Linked DNA regions of Coturnix japonica. The protein of the gene in region 1 binds, or shares a complex with, the protein of each later gene. Links are inferred from orthologs where the notes say so. Each region holds a gene or a part of one and is shown in the gene's direction. Other genes may lie near its edges.

Region 1 (9,687 bases):
TCAAGACAGCATGGGATGGATCTAAGTTGGTCACTGAACCTGCAGAGATCGTGGGTTAACCTCCTAACATCACTCAGCGCTCACTGACCGTGATCAGACCATAGCCAGCAGAAACAACGCAGCAACGTAAAGAACTAGAACTAGCAGTAGCTCCCACTGCTGTCTTAGGTCTTCAAGAATTAGCTGTGCATGCTAGAAACAATAACCCGTCCGGCACGCTTTTGTTAGGCACCTCAGCATTTCTCAAGTTTCCACAGTTCACTTACGGTTTTACTTACAGTTCACTTACGGTTTTACTTACAGTTCACTTACGGTTTTACTTCTCCATGACGTCATGTGAATGTGATGGCTTGAAACCCCCCACCTTCCAGTCACGTCACTGGTTTGAAACACTTTATTCGTTAAGCCAAAATACTGCATGATACACTTGGTTATCACATCGCTTCTGGGCATTCCTTTTTATGTTTCCGCTAATCAAAACCAGTATTAAGACTCTAAGATGTTTGTTTTCACCTTTTACGTTACTCCTGTACAACGCAGTACAAACACACCCCTGGAAAGAACTACATGACAGTTCCTTGTAGTTCTGCAGCAATCTTTTCTTTTTTTTAAGCAAGCAAAAAAATAAAAAAGGATCACTTTCAGCAATACATTTTCCTAATGGAAGATGAAATAACATGATATTTTTAATCTAACACTTTTCTAATATAAAGATCCCTGTGTTTCATAGAGGATTTTATTCTGGTCCATACAGACCTGCTGTTGCCCTCTCATTTCTTGCAAATCAGGAATTGTTTTGAAACCGAAGCCTCATATGAGCTCATAACACCTTGCAGGAAATCACCTGCAAGTTTTTGCTCCACAGGTATCTTTTGTTGTTGTTATTGAGACAATCCCTCATGCTTTAAAATTTCAAACTGCACCCTTGCAATACAACAAGCTGGCAGGGGAGATACCACCACCAGGCCGGTGGTTTTCCCAGGGCGAGAGGCACATGTCAGATATCACTTAATTTGCTTGTTAAAGTTCCTTTAAAATCTATCTATTATAGCTGTCATAGCTTCTATTGATTAAAATACCTTTCTGTTTCTTCCCTGCATTTCTAACACTTACTCAATTTCAAATTCATCTACGAATCAAAGCCATAGACCTATCGGTTCAGCCCAAATAAAGCCCACTCAGCCCTTAAATTCTACTTTCTATAGTCCCTATTGTACATGCTTTTTTAACAAAGGTGGAGTCTTGTATACATTTGTACTATTTCAGCACATAGTACAATAAAAGTTTAAAATTTTGCAGCCAGCATATGTTTTTGATCACTTGTAATACTTTGTAATGGTGAAATCAAAGTGAGATGCTTGCAGAGCTAGTTACAAGCTAAATTTTGTGCCTAACTTACCTTGAAAGTACATTAATCTTTGAGGGTTTTTAACTATCTTTGATTGTAAACCCTCTGTAACACAACAGTAGTGCTCGTTCCGCAAGGTTTTGCTATCTGATCTTTAATCTATATGTATAATGTGTCTGCCTTAGTATACACCATTTTTCAACAGTAAACTTCTTATGAAATAAAAAAGGAAAGTGTACTTGTTTAAATATAAAGTTGCTCGGAGCTTACAGAGCTGTACTGTTTGTCCTATACACCCTCCCTATCTTAAATGCCATTTCAAAAGCTTAACTGAGAAGCAGCTGCTCCTCCCATCTCATCAAACATCACCATGCTCATCAATCATCACCACCTACCTGACAGTGAGTAGTGGCTGTGTTGCACGTTGGCAGACATGAAGTTTTGTGCATATAACTTCTGCGACAGCAACGGAACCCAGCTGTTCGTGGTTCTCATTTCTAGGTACACCCAGATCTTCCAGAGATTTCGTCTAGAGAGATGATCATGACCCATCCCATGCAAGTTTATAAGCTCTACCTTCTATTTTCACCTTTTCCCATTGTTTCTCTACATGTCTCTGGATGTATCCCTCCTGTGCTAACAAACTCAGGAGCAGTCCGTCCCATATTTTACTTAGATGTTTACCATAGCTGAAAAACAGCATCATGCACTTGTGATGAAAGGATTGCAGGAGGATTTTTTAGTCTTCAAATCATAATCATAATTTGTTCCCTAAAATGATATCTGGAGGTATGGCACAAAACAAGTATAAAACGCATGCTGGTAAACAGAAAACAGTGAGGCAGATCTGACTTGCTACAAAGACAAACTCCTTTAGTTCTTCCAAAGAGTTCAGCTCCCTCCTCAAGGTTGCTTTACTTCTATCAATCTTCTTTTAAACATCTCAGAGCAAACTCCCTTATGGCTAAGCCTTCTCTCCAACATTCACACTCCTGCAACGTGCAAGACCCAAGCACAATCATTGATGAGTTTCTTAATGGCAAGTAGGCCTGTGCAGTCACACTGTGTGCTCAAAGGTCTGACCACACCTGAGGACTCTGTCAGAGAGCAGAGGTTGAAAAGGAAGGAGGCCTTACATTAAGAGAAACCAAGGTAATGCTGGTAACTGGAGAAAAGGCCAGTGAAGTCCACACAGTGTTAGACAGTGGAATAGGACTCCAGCAAGGAATGAGGCACTAAATGCTGAGCAACCCTAACATTCTATCAATCCCTTCTTTTTACTGCACGTTGCCACATGAGATATGGCACATATTTCAGCTTGGTTCGCGCTGCTTTTAAGTCGTGCTTCTGCTCTGAATGCAAACAGACAACAGTACCTGTGGTGCACATAATGTTATGGAAAGAATGTGTAATTAACCTGTTCATTTTTATAAACCCGCTTGTGTCATATGTTCACTAGGTTACAAATCAGCTGGTAAGGTACACGAGAGATTCTGATCTAAGTTTTCAAATGTAGGCAGTGTTTTTCTTGTGAGATCTCACGCTTTCTTAAGTTGCACCTCTGTAAAAGGACCTAATGAAGCGCAGGAAGGAGAAGGGCCAAACCCAAGACAGGCCTCTCAGGTAGAAAGCACCTGAATAAGGGGCACTGGGCACAAAGTGACACACAGGAGGTTCTGTCTATCCACCAGACAGCACTTCTATGCTGTGCAGGTGACGGAGCACTGGCACAGGCCGCCCACAGGCTGTGAAGTCTCCTCCTTGGAAATCTCCAGAAGGTTCCTGGCCGTGGTGTGTTCGGGCAGGGCTGGGGCCAGGTGGGCAGGGAGGACCCTGGCAGCCTCAGCCATCCTTACGGCTGTGCGATATCGGCTCAGTTGCTCAAATCATCGCTTCCTTTGTGGAAACTGGAAATACCGAAGCAGTGACTCCGCGTTTCCACCAGATGGCAGAGAGCAGCTGAGGGGCGGGCAATGGCGAGGTCTTCCTGTTAACACTGAATTCGCGTGCTACCAAGGGACTGAGAAACTGCTCTGTAAGCCTCGCTGTTAAGACGAGATCATCGTGGTAAAAGGCTTGAGGGGAACAAATGCGGAAGAAGAAAAAAACACCTACTTGTTGGAATAATGTAAGATTGTTTTTTTTTGAACACCGCTATTTCCACAGCACCATTTCCATTAAAAGCACGTCATAAAAAACAAACTGATCGTGACGCTCATACTTAACAGAGCTAAGAAGAGAGGAAGGTGAGCCATTTCAAGCCTGCAGTTCAAATCCACAAATCCTCCCAGCGTTAGCAAATTAGATTAGACCCTTTTACTGCTGCCACAGGTGTCGGTGGGATAAACCACCCGTGTTCTTTCGGATGTCGGGCGGTTCCTGAGGCGCTCACTGTGGTACAGGGAGGCGGGAATGGTGGAAGTAGGGCGCAGCGGCTCTACACGCATCCAGCCGGCACGGCTGTGGAGCTACATCTACCCTCAGTTCGGGAGCTCTCAGACGGTTCCCGGCCTAAGCGCAGCCGTGCCTCGGCGCTGGGCGATACCATGTGGCAGTACAAGGGCAATACAAGAAGCTGCTTCCCCTGCTCACCCCTCTCCCCGCTGTGGGAGAGGCGAAGCGCAGCCCGGCTCATGCGCGGTGCGGGCGGCGCTCAGCGTCAGCGGCGATGCCGGAGATGGCGGAGCTCGGCGCGGAGCCGGGCACGTCCCGCAGCGGCGCCGGAGCGGCGGCCACGGCCGGGGGCGCCCAGGACAGAAGCGACAGCGGCGGAGAGGCCGCTCCCGCGTCGCCATCGCCGCCCACGGGGAGCGACGAGGCGGGGAAGGCGCTGAGCGCGGCGGAGTACGCGCGGCGGGTGCACCAGTGGCTGTGGGACTCGTACTGCGGCTACCTCAGCTGGCACTGCTCGCTGCCGGCACTGCTCGCCGCCGGCCCCGCCGCCCGCTTCACCGCCCCGCCGCCCCCTCCCGCCGCCCCGCCGGGGGCCGCCCCCGCCGCCTACTACAGCCCGTTCTACCTCTTCGCCCCGCCGCCTGCCGCCACCGCCTCGCCGGGGCCCCGCGCTCCCCCCGCGCCCGCCCCCAACACCTCTTGGCCGGCGGCGACCGCCAGGCTGTCCCCGCTGCCCCGAGCGGCTCCGGGCTCCGGCAGCGGCGGTGTTGGCCAGCGGGAGGCTGCGGGTCGGCCGGCAGGTGAGTGCTCACGTTCAGCGGGGCCTGGCGCAGGAGTTTGTTTCGGATGTAAATATTTGCGGAGCACGTATAGCACTGCTTCTGTTTGCGTTTGCTTGAGAGCAAAGCAAACTGTCTGATGGCATGGGAGTGTGCGGGTGCTTCCTCGCTGGGTGGGGGAATGGCTAATGGCTGCCTCCTTCAGTCCAGGGCTGCCAGGCAGTGCTGTGAGTGCTGCTGGACGGGGCAGCCATCCAGCTGCGCTGCCGAGGCCCATGGAGAAAAGCCAGGAGTCCTGGCCCTGTGCAGGGCAAAGTGCAGCAGGCAGAGCTGTGCCGTCGGTGTGAGCTCAGTCTCACAGGTGTGAGGGGAGAGTCACAAACGACCGCTGTGCTCCACATTGCGAGGGGATGCATCTGGAACAGCTCAAGTGTTTATATCTCCTTTTCTGCTGTGGATTATTGTCCTTGGGGCAAGCTTGGCTATAGAGGGCGTGTTCCCATCCCGGTGCTGCTGTAGTTTACAGCCCTGTGTGCTTATGTAAGCTGAAATCAGTGACAGCTTATGTTAACGTCGTGCTTTTCCAGCTGGAGTGTCGCAAAGCAGGGCAGGTGATGCTTCTCCCAGCCTCTCCCGGCTCAGTCTGCACGCAGCCGAGTGTCACAACACCGATGTTAGTTGTATGCCAGGCAGCAGGGTGGCAGCGAGCTCTTGATGTATGGTAACCGTGGCTTAAGGTGCTTTGTCCCCTTGCCCCTCCCTGCCTTGCTGTAGCAGGTCACCAGTATTAAACACTGAGCACAGGAGAACAAAGCACGCTCAGGCTTCAGTTGCACTTTATTACTGCCTGATTACTGCTACCTGCTTGAGCTGGGCCAGGGCAGGCTGAGGTACAGAATCCTCCATTAGTAGTTATTTGACAACTTGGATATGCTTCAGCAATGGAAATGGGATCTATTTTAGTACTCCTTATGTAAATCATGCTACTTGACAGATAGAGTCGATGTGGAGTTACCAGCGTAAACAGCTATGAAGGGATGATACAAGCTGAGTTGCGTTAAGAACTTGCTCTTGCATAATCACTGCTTTATTGTGCTTACTGCATTTAAAAGTACAGGAGTGTCGTGGGCTCCTATTTGTGGGTCTGACCCAAAGGCTCATCTAACTGAAGGAATTCAGATTTGTGCTTTAACTGATAGACATCTTTAGAAGAACTCTTGGTGTGAGCTGAGATAAAGCCCTTGGTTGTGTTCTCCAGAGAGGTGTATGTGAAGCATCCTTGAGAGAATTGCACTCTTTAGTGCAGTACAATCTGGGTAATCCAAACTGTTTCTGTTGCAGGTCGGGAGTTCATTATCCCTTCGCTGGCACACAGGTTCATAGCAGAGATGGTGGATTTCTTCATTCTGTTCTTTATAAAGGCAACCATTGTTTTAAGTATTATGCACCTCAGCGGGATCAAGTAAGTAGAACGATTTAAAGGTTTACTATATACAGCATTAAGGTCTTCGTGCTCTTTGAGGTGTCACGATGTGCTATGGTTACGCATCTGACATCTCTTTTTTCAACAGACACAGGCTGAGAAAACAGCCCCACTATGGGATACCTCCTTTTAGATCTGACCTGGGGTCAGCTGATGGCAAGGGGAGGAATTGTGGAGTCATTTTGTAGGCTCACACACTTGTTACTAAGGATTAATTAGGCTGACTTGCAGTCTCAGTTTTTGAGGGAATTAGCAAGAATTTTTTTAAAACGCTCTTAAAATAAATCTCAATGGGAAAACCTTATTAAAAAACATAAAAGGTTTTTATTTCAGATGATGTCAAATATGCATCAATTGGAAGGTTGCTAGAAACCTAAAGCCTGTAGGCTTTACTGTGCCTAAGCTGTAGGGAAAAATGGAATAAGCATCATATGCATCAGCTATATACCAGAATGAAAGTCTTCATGTTTTTATACTGGATGTATTTATCCAGGCTGGATGTGGCTCTGGGCAGCCTGGTCTGATGGCTGGTGACCCTGCACATAGTGGGGGTTTGGAATTACATGATCATCGTGGTTCTTTTTAACCCAGGCCATTCTGTGATCCTATGATTTTTTTTTTAGTGATTAATTATCTTAAATACTGTCTCCTTATTCCGTAGCTGATTCAGTTCCTCTACTTTGATATATTCACATATTTCAATCTTATGAGGAGATCAAGGCTTAGTATGGTCCATACACTTACATTTCAGAATTGAAGGTATCTGCTAAAAGAGCCTTCCAAATGTTGATAGGATGTAAGCTGATACTACAGACATAACATCTTTTGGACAGGTTGAACTGCTGCTTGAAAGTGCGTGGAAGAGGCTTAGATCCAAAGCAGTAAATGTCAGTGTAAATTATCAGTGTCACTGTTCAAATAAGCAGGCAAATGAAACGCCAACCTCTCAGTTCTGTTCAGTTGCCAAAGCCTCCAACTTAACCTGGCAGCTTGTATTTCTACCTCAGTTTTGTAGGCCAAAAATGATACAGAAGATACGGGAAAGCTGGAGAACAGCTTTATGTGTATCACTTCTGCAAAAATGGTGATTGAAAGAGAATCTTTTTGAGTTACTGTACAGTATATTCGATATTGCTGCTCTTGCAAGAGCCACAAAGTTGCTTACGAGTAGCTTCAGAAACTATTTTTTTCCCCCTGGTGAGCTGTGTGCTGGAGGCCAGGCTGAGCTGTCACGTAAGGCACATCCTCACTGAAGACAAAGACTTCAGGCCAGCTTTGTACTAAAGGGAAGAGCAGATTGTGCTGTACTACCATTCTCTCAATTCCTATCTTTTTTGATCCTGAACAGAGAGGAGAGCGAGTGGTGCGTGCGTGGCTTGTTTTCACGAGGCCCACACCTTTCTATTTAAATAGAAATTATAACTGAGATGGCTCACGGAAAAGTCATCTCCTAAGTACACGTTGCAAGTGCGCCCATTCCACTTATCAGATGTCACATCTGTGGTTTGACTTGTGAAGATACACAGCTGATTCTGAGCTGCAGCTTTGCATTGCTTTGTTAGGGGAGATGGCTGAGAGTTTCAACTGTTTGGTTGAAAGCATTTTGGAACTGCTGAGAAGGCAAACCCTGCTCATGCAAAGGGGGTAAAGTCTCCTTTGCTTGTCTGGTGACTTGCAAACTGCTTTGCAGTTATAAGAGAGCAATGCATTGAGTTCCCATCTCCCTCACCCTGTAATGAAGATAGTTGTATCCATGTGTGTAAGTAGATGATTGTGGAATCCCTTGTGCATCTCTCAAGAATGAGAATGTTCCTAACGATTCTGCAGCTCACTCCATAGACTGTCATGTTGCAAATGTGCTCACAATGCATTTTTTCATAACGAAAAACTGAACAGCAACTTGGAAGGAAACCTCACAGAATCACAGATCACAGAATCACAGAATGACCCGGGTTGGAAGGGACCTCAAGGATCATGTAGTTCCAACCCCCCTGCCTGGCAGGGCCACCAAACATACACATTTACTACATCAGGTTGCCCAGGGCCCCGTCCAACCTGGTCTTGAACACCTCCCAGTGTTAGGAATTGTATTGGGTGGCTCAATGTCACAGAAGCTGAAGAGAATTCCAGCACTAGGAGGGACAAATGAGTTCTGGATGTTGTGTCGTGTTTGGTTTTTTGCTTTGTGGGTTGTTTTTTAAAGTTGTCTTATTTTCAACAGAGACATCTCTAAATTTGCTATGCATTACATAATAGAGGAAATAGATGAAGATACATCCATGGAAGACTTGCAGAAAATGATGATAGTGGCTCTCATCTACAGGTTATTAGTCTGCTTCTACGAGGTAACTACTCCTGCATTTTAACTGCTGTAGTTCATAGTTATCAGTTCTCGGATAAACAACAAAGTATCATCAGTGGCCAATGAAGTAAAGCCCTCTTTACTTGGAGTTCTGTGAAGCTGTGGGCCTCACTTATTTTTGAAGAAAGCCATGTTTGCCATACTAGTCAATAACACTGCTCTGTGTGGAACTGAAGTAAGTTTTCTTTCGCAGATCATCTGTATTTGGGGAGCAGGAGGAGCAACCCCAGGGAAGTTCTTGCTCGGGCTGCGAGTTGTGACGTGTGATACGTCTGTCCTCGTTGCACCCAGCCGTGTGTTAGTCATTCCGTCTTCTAATGTCAGTATGACAACGTAAGTGCTCTTAGCTTACCTTGCTTTTGTATTAATGGGATGGAAAATGTGGTTTGGAAGGAAATGCACCTTTCCTTTATTGTTGGCCTTTGCCGGCATTGGATTGCCAAGAAGTATTCTCAGGTTCTTTCAATATAACAGTTAATTAGTTGTGAATATTTTCCAGGTTAGGTGGTAAGATAATCTCTAAACTCTGGAGGTTGTTGGCTTTGGGGAAAGCAGGGAAGTTGACAATAAAGAAGGCACTGAATGCTTTTATTCTCCTTTCAGGTCTACAATAAGAGCCTTGATCAAGAATTTTTCCATCGCTTCATTTTTTCCTGCGTTCATTACGCTGCTGTTTTTTCAGCACAACAGAACAGCCTACGATATCGTAGCAGGAACTATTGTGGTAAGAAGAAATGGAATCAGATGATAGCAAAAGATGACAGACTCCCAGACTGTTTTTTGAATACCGTTCCCAAATGAACAAAAACCCACCCCAAAACCGAGATGACCATCCGAATCTTTAGCCCAAATGAAAGCAGAACGATTCCCAAGCTAAAGGAAATGGGGTTGCTCCAGTGTGGTGCCAGCAGCTACCTTCAAAGTATTGGAATTCTCACAAATGCCAAAGAATTTTGAGAGAAACGATATTAACCGTAGCTTGAAAACAAGCGGCTGTGTGTTAATAACTGCAGAACGGTGCTGTTCTGTTCGTCATCCTGTGGGGAAAGCGGATACTGAGAAATACTCCATCCACCTCTAAAGAAAAGCTTTGGGTGCTGGAGGTAACTAACTAGAAAATCATGTTTTCCAAGCAGTTGCCTGAGTTGTGTTGCTGGCTCCTTGAGGGGAAGGGAACTGCAGTATTGGAGAGTAAGGTGCGTTCAGTGAGTTACAGTGACAGATGCACAGAAAGAAAGTGGTGTTTATCGCTTCCTTTCTGACTGCTTCACAGATCGTATTCCCTCACCTCTTCAAAGTATTTTATCTGGATATTGATGTG
Region 2 (9,015 bases), on another chromosome or scaffold:
CATGTAATGAGGCTCTAAGTCCTCTATGTATATTTAGACATGCATATTTAAATAGCAGCAAACTATTCTAAAGTGAATTCAGTTCTTCAGAGGTTTTGGAAATCAAGAGCAGAATTCCATATTTCATAGTACTGTAGACTGAAATTGTTAGTGAAAGTACACAACAATAGTGCTTTCACATGCCATGTAAGTGATTCTGTCACATGGATACAATATGTTTATTCCCCTCTCTCTTCCCTGGGACTATTATGTTTAATTAAGCTTTTTTACTGTTATCAGACCCACTATTTTCATCCTAGATGCTGAATGTGGCATCATGGGAAGGTTTTGGATTGAAAGGACAGTGAAATTCTGGTGCTTAGAAGCATAAAAAGAAACATGTTCTGATTTTTCTGGAATAATCACAGTCAAGTTAATGTTATGCTCAGTTTAGGGAATTAACTGCTTACAGAAGAGTGTAGCATATTAAACATGCTTGTAGCTGTTAGCATGTTTCTGTTTTGCTACTGACCAGCCTTGGTCTCTACCTCATTTTCTTCTTTCTGAGGTGAAATGTAAGGTTTAGTTCGTGCTATTGTAATTGAAATGAGAACCTTATTTTGCAGTTTGAACGGTGACTCATAGGGAAGAGAACAGTGAGAAGAAGTGCTGGAAATGTTGACAGTTCCCTCCCTTAGGAAATGTTGTAGCTAGATGAGCAGTCACACGCATGTGATACCTGTGTTCAGCATTAGTTAGGAGATCTTGTTCACCAAAGGCAAGCTTCACTGGGCTGCAGTGTTAAAACTAGGTGTTGTCTTGTTTTTGTCCAAGGAGTCATGAGCATTAGGAGATCTGAAGCACAAAGCCAAACTCAGAGCCCTCAAAAATAATGCTTAAGGAAGAGCTGTTTCCTTGTCCAATGAAAATGTTCTGAAGTTCAAAATCTATATATTGCAGTAGGGTGTGGTAGTGGTGAGTCTTTGTGGAAAAACAAATGAGGAAGGGAATTCTAAGGAACTTGCATCAAATCCCTTTGTTGCCCTGGCACAGAAGAGACATTGACGTAGAAGGCTGTAATTAATGTTCTTACTTGGAGTGAGCCTCTCAGTTCTGTATAAACCAGTATTCACTGGGGTAAAGACTGAGTTTTCCCGTATTTGACTCCATGTATTCCATCTGACAGGAAATGAATAGGCACAGCTAGAGTGAAGTCCATTAGAATTTTCCAACTAAGTCATTTGGTAAGAAAATTACCAGGAAGCTACTTCATCTTTCCTTTTCAGTGAAATCTTAGCATACTGTTGGTTATCTTCATTTCTGATTTATTTATTTTTTTCCTTATTTTAAAACTTGCCATTCATTTTTTCCTTGGAACAAAGGCTAAAGAAATGATAATTAGATGTCAACTTCCTTGACACTTATTTCTTTTTCCCTTGCTGTGGTCATTTTAGGACAATCTTTTTGAATGGCACTTTACTGTTAGAGGTCCTCCAGATTCAGATTTTGATGGAGGAATTTATCACGGACGGATAGTACTTCCACCTGAATATCCCATGAAACCACCAAGCATTATTTTGCTGACGGTAAGTATATGAAAGATTCCTAGCACCTAAGGTAACATTATTTTTATAAGACAGGGGTCATAGTACAATTAATGCTGCCAGTTTAGTGACAGAAGTCTTTGAAAGTGACTTTGGTATAATGTAGTTAGATGAAGTTTTGGATCTACAAGTGGGAGACTTCCCCAAAACTAATACTGATTGCTTATATGGATGTCTAACCTTCCTGTTGTCTCTGTGGATCACAGAATAATAGAGTAATTATGGTTGGAAATGACCACTAACATCACCTTGTCCAGTTGTCAGCCTACCACTGCTGTGCGCAAGGCTAGGCTGGATGGGACTTTGAGCAACCTCGCCTAGTGGAAGATGTCCCTGCCTATAGCATTGGAACTACATGAACTTACATAATCTACGTGGTCTCTGTTAATGCGTGAAAAACAGATCTATGGTATGGGTGAAGGCCTGTATTTCTGTGTAATTTCATAGAGCTATAGACTTTCAGAGTCTCCACACATGTGTGGATTACGGGAGCAACAGAGAAGCCATTATGTCACACTGGGACATATGAGGTATCAGGTAGGGGTCTCTTTGTGCATGAACTAAGGTAGTTGGCAGACTTCTTTGATTCAGAAAGCTGAATGCTGTATTTGCAAGGTTGGTAGTAATACAGTTATCAAGTATTGTTTGCATATGGATTTATGATATTTTTGATAACTTGTTTTCTTTGCACAAATTAACTTCACGTTTTATTATATCCTCCTTTCTTTAAAGGCTAATGGCAGGTTTGAAGTGGGGAAGAAAATTTGCTTAAGCATCTCAGGGCATCATCCTGAAACATGGCAGCCTTCATGGAGTAGTAAGTAACAAATTATTTGGAAATCATCTTTACACTGAAAAATCTCACAAAGAATGCTACAGTAATACTTCACTAATACTTCTCTCGATGCTTGGACTAATTCTTAGTATGTGTGCTGAAACTCCTCTTATGTGCTTCCCTGAATTCGAGGAAACTCTGGAATTGCTGTACCTCTGGTCTTCACTGAGGATTGAGCAGAAAAAACCCTCTTCTGTGGTTTTGAGTTCATTAATGTATTTATTCACATTGGTTTGTTTGACAGAATGTGACTGAACTACAAGGCAGTGCTGCTACTGACAGGATTTTAGTTATTTATTATAATATTAGGAGAATAAATGGAAACGGCACTGAAAAATATTGTCAGAACTGCAAATATTAAGCAGAACAGAAAGGTTGCCTTCCTAGCTCTGAGTAAGGATATGAGATGCAATTTCTGCTGCTTGTGTTCTACCCCATGCAAACACACCCGTGTTCTTAACTGCAATGAATAGAGCTCGTAGTGGAAGGGGAGGCAGATTTTTGAGGGAGCAAAAGGATGGGAGAGCTGTAGAAATGTGAAGTTGTGAAAGAGGGACACAGGAAGTTTTGGAAACTGTTCAATAAACAGAAGCTGAAAAGGTTGAGAAACTGAGGAGTGTTGGTAAGCTGTTAATGCTTGTGCATCCAAATAAAAATTTCTTGGACTCGTTAAGATATTCTTAACTTTTAAAAACCATTCTTACATTAAAATATTTTAAATTCCATTACTTCACTTTTTTTCCCCTTGGTCTAATCACTAAAAGCAGCCTGAGTGTCAATTGAGAGGAGAGTAGTCAGCTTTTATGCTAATGCTTTACCTCTGAGCGCTCCAGAGGAAAGTCATGGTCTAAGCTGAGAATAACCGAATGTTTTCTATGCTTTTTTTTAAAGAAGTTTTATTATCTGAAGAGTTTCAGAGTTGGCACAATTGATCCAAGGTGATGTTTCTGTGTGTGTGTGTGTGTGTGTGTGTATGTGTATGTATAACTTCTATCTTCCTGAGTACAGGGTATTAATTATTTCTTTGGATATTGAGTAGTTTAAATAATGTTGATAAGATCTTAGGAATTCAACTACTGTAAAATCTTTTACTTTTTTTAAAGAGCACAAAATAGTCTTTGGAATAGGAATACATACGTGTTCTGTATTTGAATACATACGTGAATACATACACATTCTGTATTTATTTTGTGGTGCTTGGTTCATATGATATTTATTTACCAAATCTTCTGGCAAACTGCTTTGAATTTTTAAATCTCACAAACATATGTAAAGCAAAATTAAAGGATAAGTATTACAAAAAAAGAGATGTTCTGAGTGATCTGAGTTATCTGTATTTAAGTTAGCTCCTTACCCAACGTGACAACATAAAGGGAGCAAACTGCAATATACTTCATCACAGAATCACACAGAATCACAGAATTGTAGGGGTTGGAAGGGACCTCTAGAGATCATCGAGTCCAACCCCCCTTCCAAAGCAGGCTCCCTACACCACGTCGCACGGTAAAAAATAAAGGGAAGCACAGGTAAAAGAAAGTTGCTGAGCTTCTATGCACCAAATTGCAGAATGTGTGTCTGATAAGCAGTATACCCAGAAAGAAGGATGCCTTATGAATCTGCATCTTTCTTCCTTCTCATTTATCCATCCATTTTTATTTGGAGCATAATAGTAAAGTTTGGAACTCTGTGCTGATGTGGTATTTTTGTGACAGCTTAGCTTTCCTTCTCTGTGTTGACTGATGGTAAAATAAGACCTTGACTTATAATGGGAAGTTCAAAAAATGGAAAGTCGTGTTCTTTATAAAGAAACAAACAGTGCTGCTTGTATGAAATTCGAACTGCTCGTTTGGACAAAACAAGTTTTATGGGCAGTACTGCTACTCTTCTCACTCATTGCAGAGTAAGATAAAGTAGCTGTTATTTCTGCAACTTTTTATCTGTTTTCCTATTTTAGTAAGAACAGCTTTACTAGCAATTATTGGATTTATGCCAACCAAAGGTGAAGGAGCAATAGGATCTCTGGATTATACGCCAGAAGAAAGAAGAGCTCTTGCCAAGAAGTACGTATTAACTTTGTTACTGTGAAAAATACACATATGCTGTCTTTTTTGAGTAAGGCATTGAGCAGTAAATAGTGCAAGTCAGAATACTGTTCTCTCGCACTTGTTTTACATTTAAATGACAAAACAAACAAACAGAACCAAAGCAGTGGAATATTTTGTGCCTTACATCTTTTTATTTTCCTGAATATTGTGCAAGTTGAGGACTTATGGGTGAACAAATTACTTGGGGAGGGCTGTGTTCCTGCCAGCATTGTGTGGTCAGATTAGAAGTTCCTCTGTAATTTGTTTGGTGGGGATGTGAGTAACATTGTTATACAGTGGTAATCGTACTGCTTAAGGAAATTTAATGTGATAGAGTAAGCATGAGTGATAGAGAAAACAAACAACAAGGCCTCTTTTTGCTCAGGAACATAATAAAACAGCAACAACAAAATCTGAAGTAATGGCTTCTGAATAATTTTAGTAAATTAACTTAAAATTATATTTGGGATTTTAATGGAACTGTTAGCTTGGTAGGCATGACTTTTAGTACTGTCTTCCTTTTAACATCCTTGTAGAGAAAAATTGTGGCACATAGCATAGGTAAGTGCATAATGAGTTGGACTGAGAACTGGCTGAGTAGCCCGGCTCAAATGTCTGGTCAGGGGTATTGAGTCCAGCTGGAAGCCAGTCATTCACTGCTGGTGTACACCAAGGGTTGATGGTGGGACCAGAGGTATTCAACATCATTAATGACCTGTATGGTGGGACACAGCGTGCCCTTGGCAAGTTTGCAGGTTATTAAGAACTGGGAAGAGCCTCTGAAATACCAAAGGGTTGTGCTGCCATCCAGAGGGACCTGGACAGGCTGATGAAATGGGCTGAGAGAAATCTAAAAGTAGATCATTTCTAAATGATAAAGATAATATGTATTTGTAATATAGATGATATTAAACATTTTTCAAGGTAATGCAGTTTATGGGGGTGAGGGGATGGGAAAGATGCTTTTAAAGCTATTGGTCTTGAAAATACATCTTTATATGGACTGCTTTGCAAGTACTTTGCTTACCAAGCATACAAGAACGTTATGAGAATGTGTCATTCTGTGCTCTGTCATTTTGTGGCCAGGTCACAAGACTTCTGTTGTGAAATGTGTGGCACATCTATGAAGACAGCCCTCTTACCACTAACGTCAGGAAGTGGGTCAAGCCAGGCAGACAAGGAAGCTAAAGAACTTGCCAGACAAATTAGCTTCAAGGTGGAGTAACTGTTTAAACTTTTTTTTTTGTGGTCTGCTGTACAGAATCTGGGTGCGGGTGGAGTGGGGGGGAAGTAAATTGCAGGAAAAAAAGTATTTCATAAACCTTCATAAATTACTACATGGAAACTTTTTAGTCTTCTAGGACAGACTGAAGGAGAAAAATGGGAATGGATCATCTCTGGAAATGTGACGGTTAATAAACTGTGCATCTCAAGTACTAATTAATTAGCAATAATTTCAGTTATAGGTACTCTGGTAAAAACTGCGTATGTTGCTTTTAGTTCTTTGTTTTCACTAATAATGTGATTAAATTCTCCAGACTTTGTCAGAAACGTGTTAGGGAAATTTGGACAAAGCTAACCTACATTGTTTTTCTCTTTGTGATTTTTATTTATTTATTTGTCTTTTGGTTTATGGAAGGAATAAAACATGTTGTTACTGAAAAATGGTTGCAGATGCTTTTGAACTACTCTGCAGCTGAAGATACTGAAATTTAAACTCTGGTATGAAAGTTGCTTTTGCCCCAAAATGTGTTTTCTAGCTTATGTTTTGGTGAAAGTAAGGCTTGTTGAGCAAAATCTGTGCCTTAGGAAATTGCATGTCTTGCATGTACAGTATTTTTTCTTCATTGGGTTTTGCACTAAACTCTGAATCCTTCCTCTGAGGAAGGGCGCTGTACATGAATGCAGGGATCAACAGTGGAATATAACGTGACAATGTGGCAGCGGTATCGAATGCATCCTCACTCAAGGAAGGAGTGCTAGTATGACCTAATATCACCCATTTTTATTCTTTACGCTGTCCTAAAGACTGTGGGGTATTTTTGTGTGCTGTGAGAGTGAAGATTACCTCCTACTGAGCATCGCTGCCAGTTTTGAAAGACAGGTGCATTCCTTTGTTATCTCACACCTACACGTGTTAATATAGGAGTCTACATGTACTGCTTATGATTAACAACTCATCCAAATATTTCCGAGGATGAAGAAGTACAGACATAGAATTTTAAAGCTGAGCTACCCAGAAAAGCAATTTAGATTCACTGCTCATCTTCTTTACAGTGTATAAGCTTTAAAAAGTGTGAGTTCTGTTTTTTTTTAAAGCACTGCTAGTCTTTATTGCAGAAACATCTCGGTACAGTTTCTTTTCTCATACTTGTTTTTTCCATTTTTTGAAATGAAAGATTTGAGGGTGTCAGTCTTTAAAAACCATTGATGTGTTCTATATGTCCATATATTTAACTCAATTTCTGAAGGGAAAAAGCACTAAAGGAATAAGTAGATGTGATTCATGTTTTAACGTTCTCTTTACAGTCTTTCAGTCTGTTTTGTTCTAATGCAAGGTAAATTGGCCCTCTTTTGTGGGCATTCTTCAACTTCCTTTCTCAGATTTTTAAGTTTCCTAAACCTCTGTTGTGCTTGGCTCTGTTATTATTCATGTCATGTTAGACTGAGACATACAACTTGTGTGGTTATAACAAAAGTACTAGCAGGGTAATAAAGAAGTTTTTAATAATTTGAGTATATTTCATGTCAGCTTACGGGATAGGATTTCTCATTGAATAGCCAATTGGATGTGTAATTTGGGTGAAACTCTCTGTTAGTAAAATAATATAAGCAATATCTACTTTATCTTCGTCCTTATAGAAGAGATTCCCTAACGTTTTCTAGATCCTAGGATTATAAGAAATTCTTTCATACCAGCCTTAAGCAAAATGATTATTTTTTTTAAAATACACGTTTGGTCTTGAGACAAAGAGTATGAAATTCAAGAGGAAAAGGTGTTCCCTTAATTTTCCTGCTTCTTTGAGCTTATGTGTTTGATAGGGATCTACAGTTTTTATCAGAATAACATTGACTTGCAAGTCTTAGGCATTTTAGATGCTATATTCCATAAATTCCATTTCACTTAAAAGATACATGACTAATAGTGTATGCACTTATTCTGTAAAACAATATGGTATATCCATGTGTTGCCATTATAAGGCATATAATTATAACAGTAAAATTAGTTTTCTGTCCACTTTCATTATTATGTTTAAATTTGTTCATCTTCCTGTGAGGTCTCTATTTTCCTGGGGCAAAGGTAAGTCTTGGAGAAAAAAGACTAAGCTGGAAAAAGATGTTAATTTAGTAAACTTTGGAGTGTATATATATATATATATATAATATATATATAGTGATTTTATATATATATATATATATATATAATCATAGAATCACCAAGGTTGGAAAAGACCTAAAAGATCATCCAGTCCAACCGTTCACCTATTACCAATAGCTCCCACTAAACCATGTCCCTCAACACAACATCCAGTCTTTCCTTGAACACCCCCAGGGTTGGTGACTCCACTACCTCCCTGGTCAGTCCATTCCATATATTTTTAATTACTGTGACTTTAGTATTCTAGCCTTAGTACTTTATTAAACTAAAGTAAATCACATGCGTGCTAAAGAAGTAGAAGAGCAGTGGTCACAGTTTTGAGGAAAGGAAGTACCCACTGAATGTGAAGAGGGGGAAAGAATTCACCACACAGACTGTCAAACACCACAGTACCATTCTTAGACAAACTGTAGCATCTCCAGCTTTGGAGGTGCTTAAAACTTGAACAGACGTGACCCTACTTTAAGGAGACAGTTGGATCCAGTGATATCTAGAGGTCCCTTCCAGCCTAAATTATTCCATGATTCTGTGTGATATGATTCTAATGTGGATCAGAAACAAAATTTGTGCTGTCCTAACTATCTCATATTAGAGTCCATAGTAGTCAGTGTAAAAAGAAGTCAATATTGTTGTTACATTATAAGCAATTTTAAATCTATAAATAATCTTCAGATCATTTCAGTGGCAATAGTATTTCAGGAAAATCAGAAAATGAAGTGTCAGAAAATGGGGAATTTAATTTCCCCACACAAAACAGCAGTGTGGAAGAAGATTGTTATTTTATGGTCTTCTTAGCTTGTTATCTACATGACTGGTTGGTTTCTAATGTTTGTATTTCATGCTACCTTTACTTGTATTTCCATTTGAAGTCAAGTAGCAGTCCTTAAATTTGGGACTGTAATCTCTGAAAGAAGTTGAGATCCTGATACAATATTGGGGAGATATGATGTTACACTCTACAGGGAGAGACTTGCTTACAAAGGGATTGGGGGAGAAAAAAAAAAAGATGATCTGGTCCTGACCTTTTAATTTTAAGGTTTTTAAAATTTGGATATGTTTATACTGCAAACTGTTTTAATTCAGGAGTATGGTGATATGTCCCTTTCTATCCCTAATGGGTTATTGCAAACATAC

What was found.
Region 2: FAM8A1 (region 1) and UBE2J1 share a complex: the UniProt entries of both Homo sapiens proteins name them as parts of the HRD1 complex. The link is inferred for Coturnix japonica from reciprocal best matches to the Homo sapiens genes FAM8A1 and UBE2J1.

Annotation. Positions count from the first base shown.
Region 1 is NC_029517.1:66,994,029-67,003,715, reverse strand, and holds the start of FAM8A1 (protein FAM8A1), read left to right. Parts: upstream 1-3,988; 5' UTR 3,989-4,016; coding exon 4,017-4,542; intron 4,543-5,862; coding exon 5,863-5,983; intron 5,984-8,225; coding exon 8,226-8,349; intron 8,350-8,559; coding exon 8,560-8,699; intron 8,700-8,969; coding exon 8,970-9,114; 3' UTR 9,115-9,687. Other genes in the region: CAP2 (adenylyl cyclase-associated protein 2), read left to right, coding at 1-59. UniProt on the Homo sapiens protein: Plays a role in the assembly of the HRD1 complex, a complex involved in the ubiquitin-proteasome-dependent process of ER-associated degradation (ERAD).
Region 2 is NC_029518.1:68,955,090-68,964,104, forward strand, and holds part of UBE2J1 (ubiquitin-conjugating enzyme E2 J1), read left to right. Parts: intron 1-1,433; coding exon 1,434-1,565; intron 1,566-2,315; coding exon 2,316-2,400; intron 2,401-4,372; coding exon 4,373-4,478; intron 4,479-5,588; coding exon 5,589-5,718; intron 5,719-9,015. UniProt on the Homo sapiens protein: Catalyzes the covalent attachment of ubiquitin to other proteins. Functions in the selective degradation of misfolded membrane proteins from the endoplasmic reticulum (ERAD) and is essential for cells to recover from ER stress.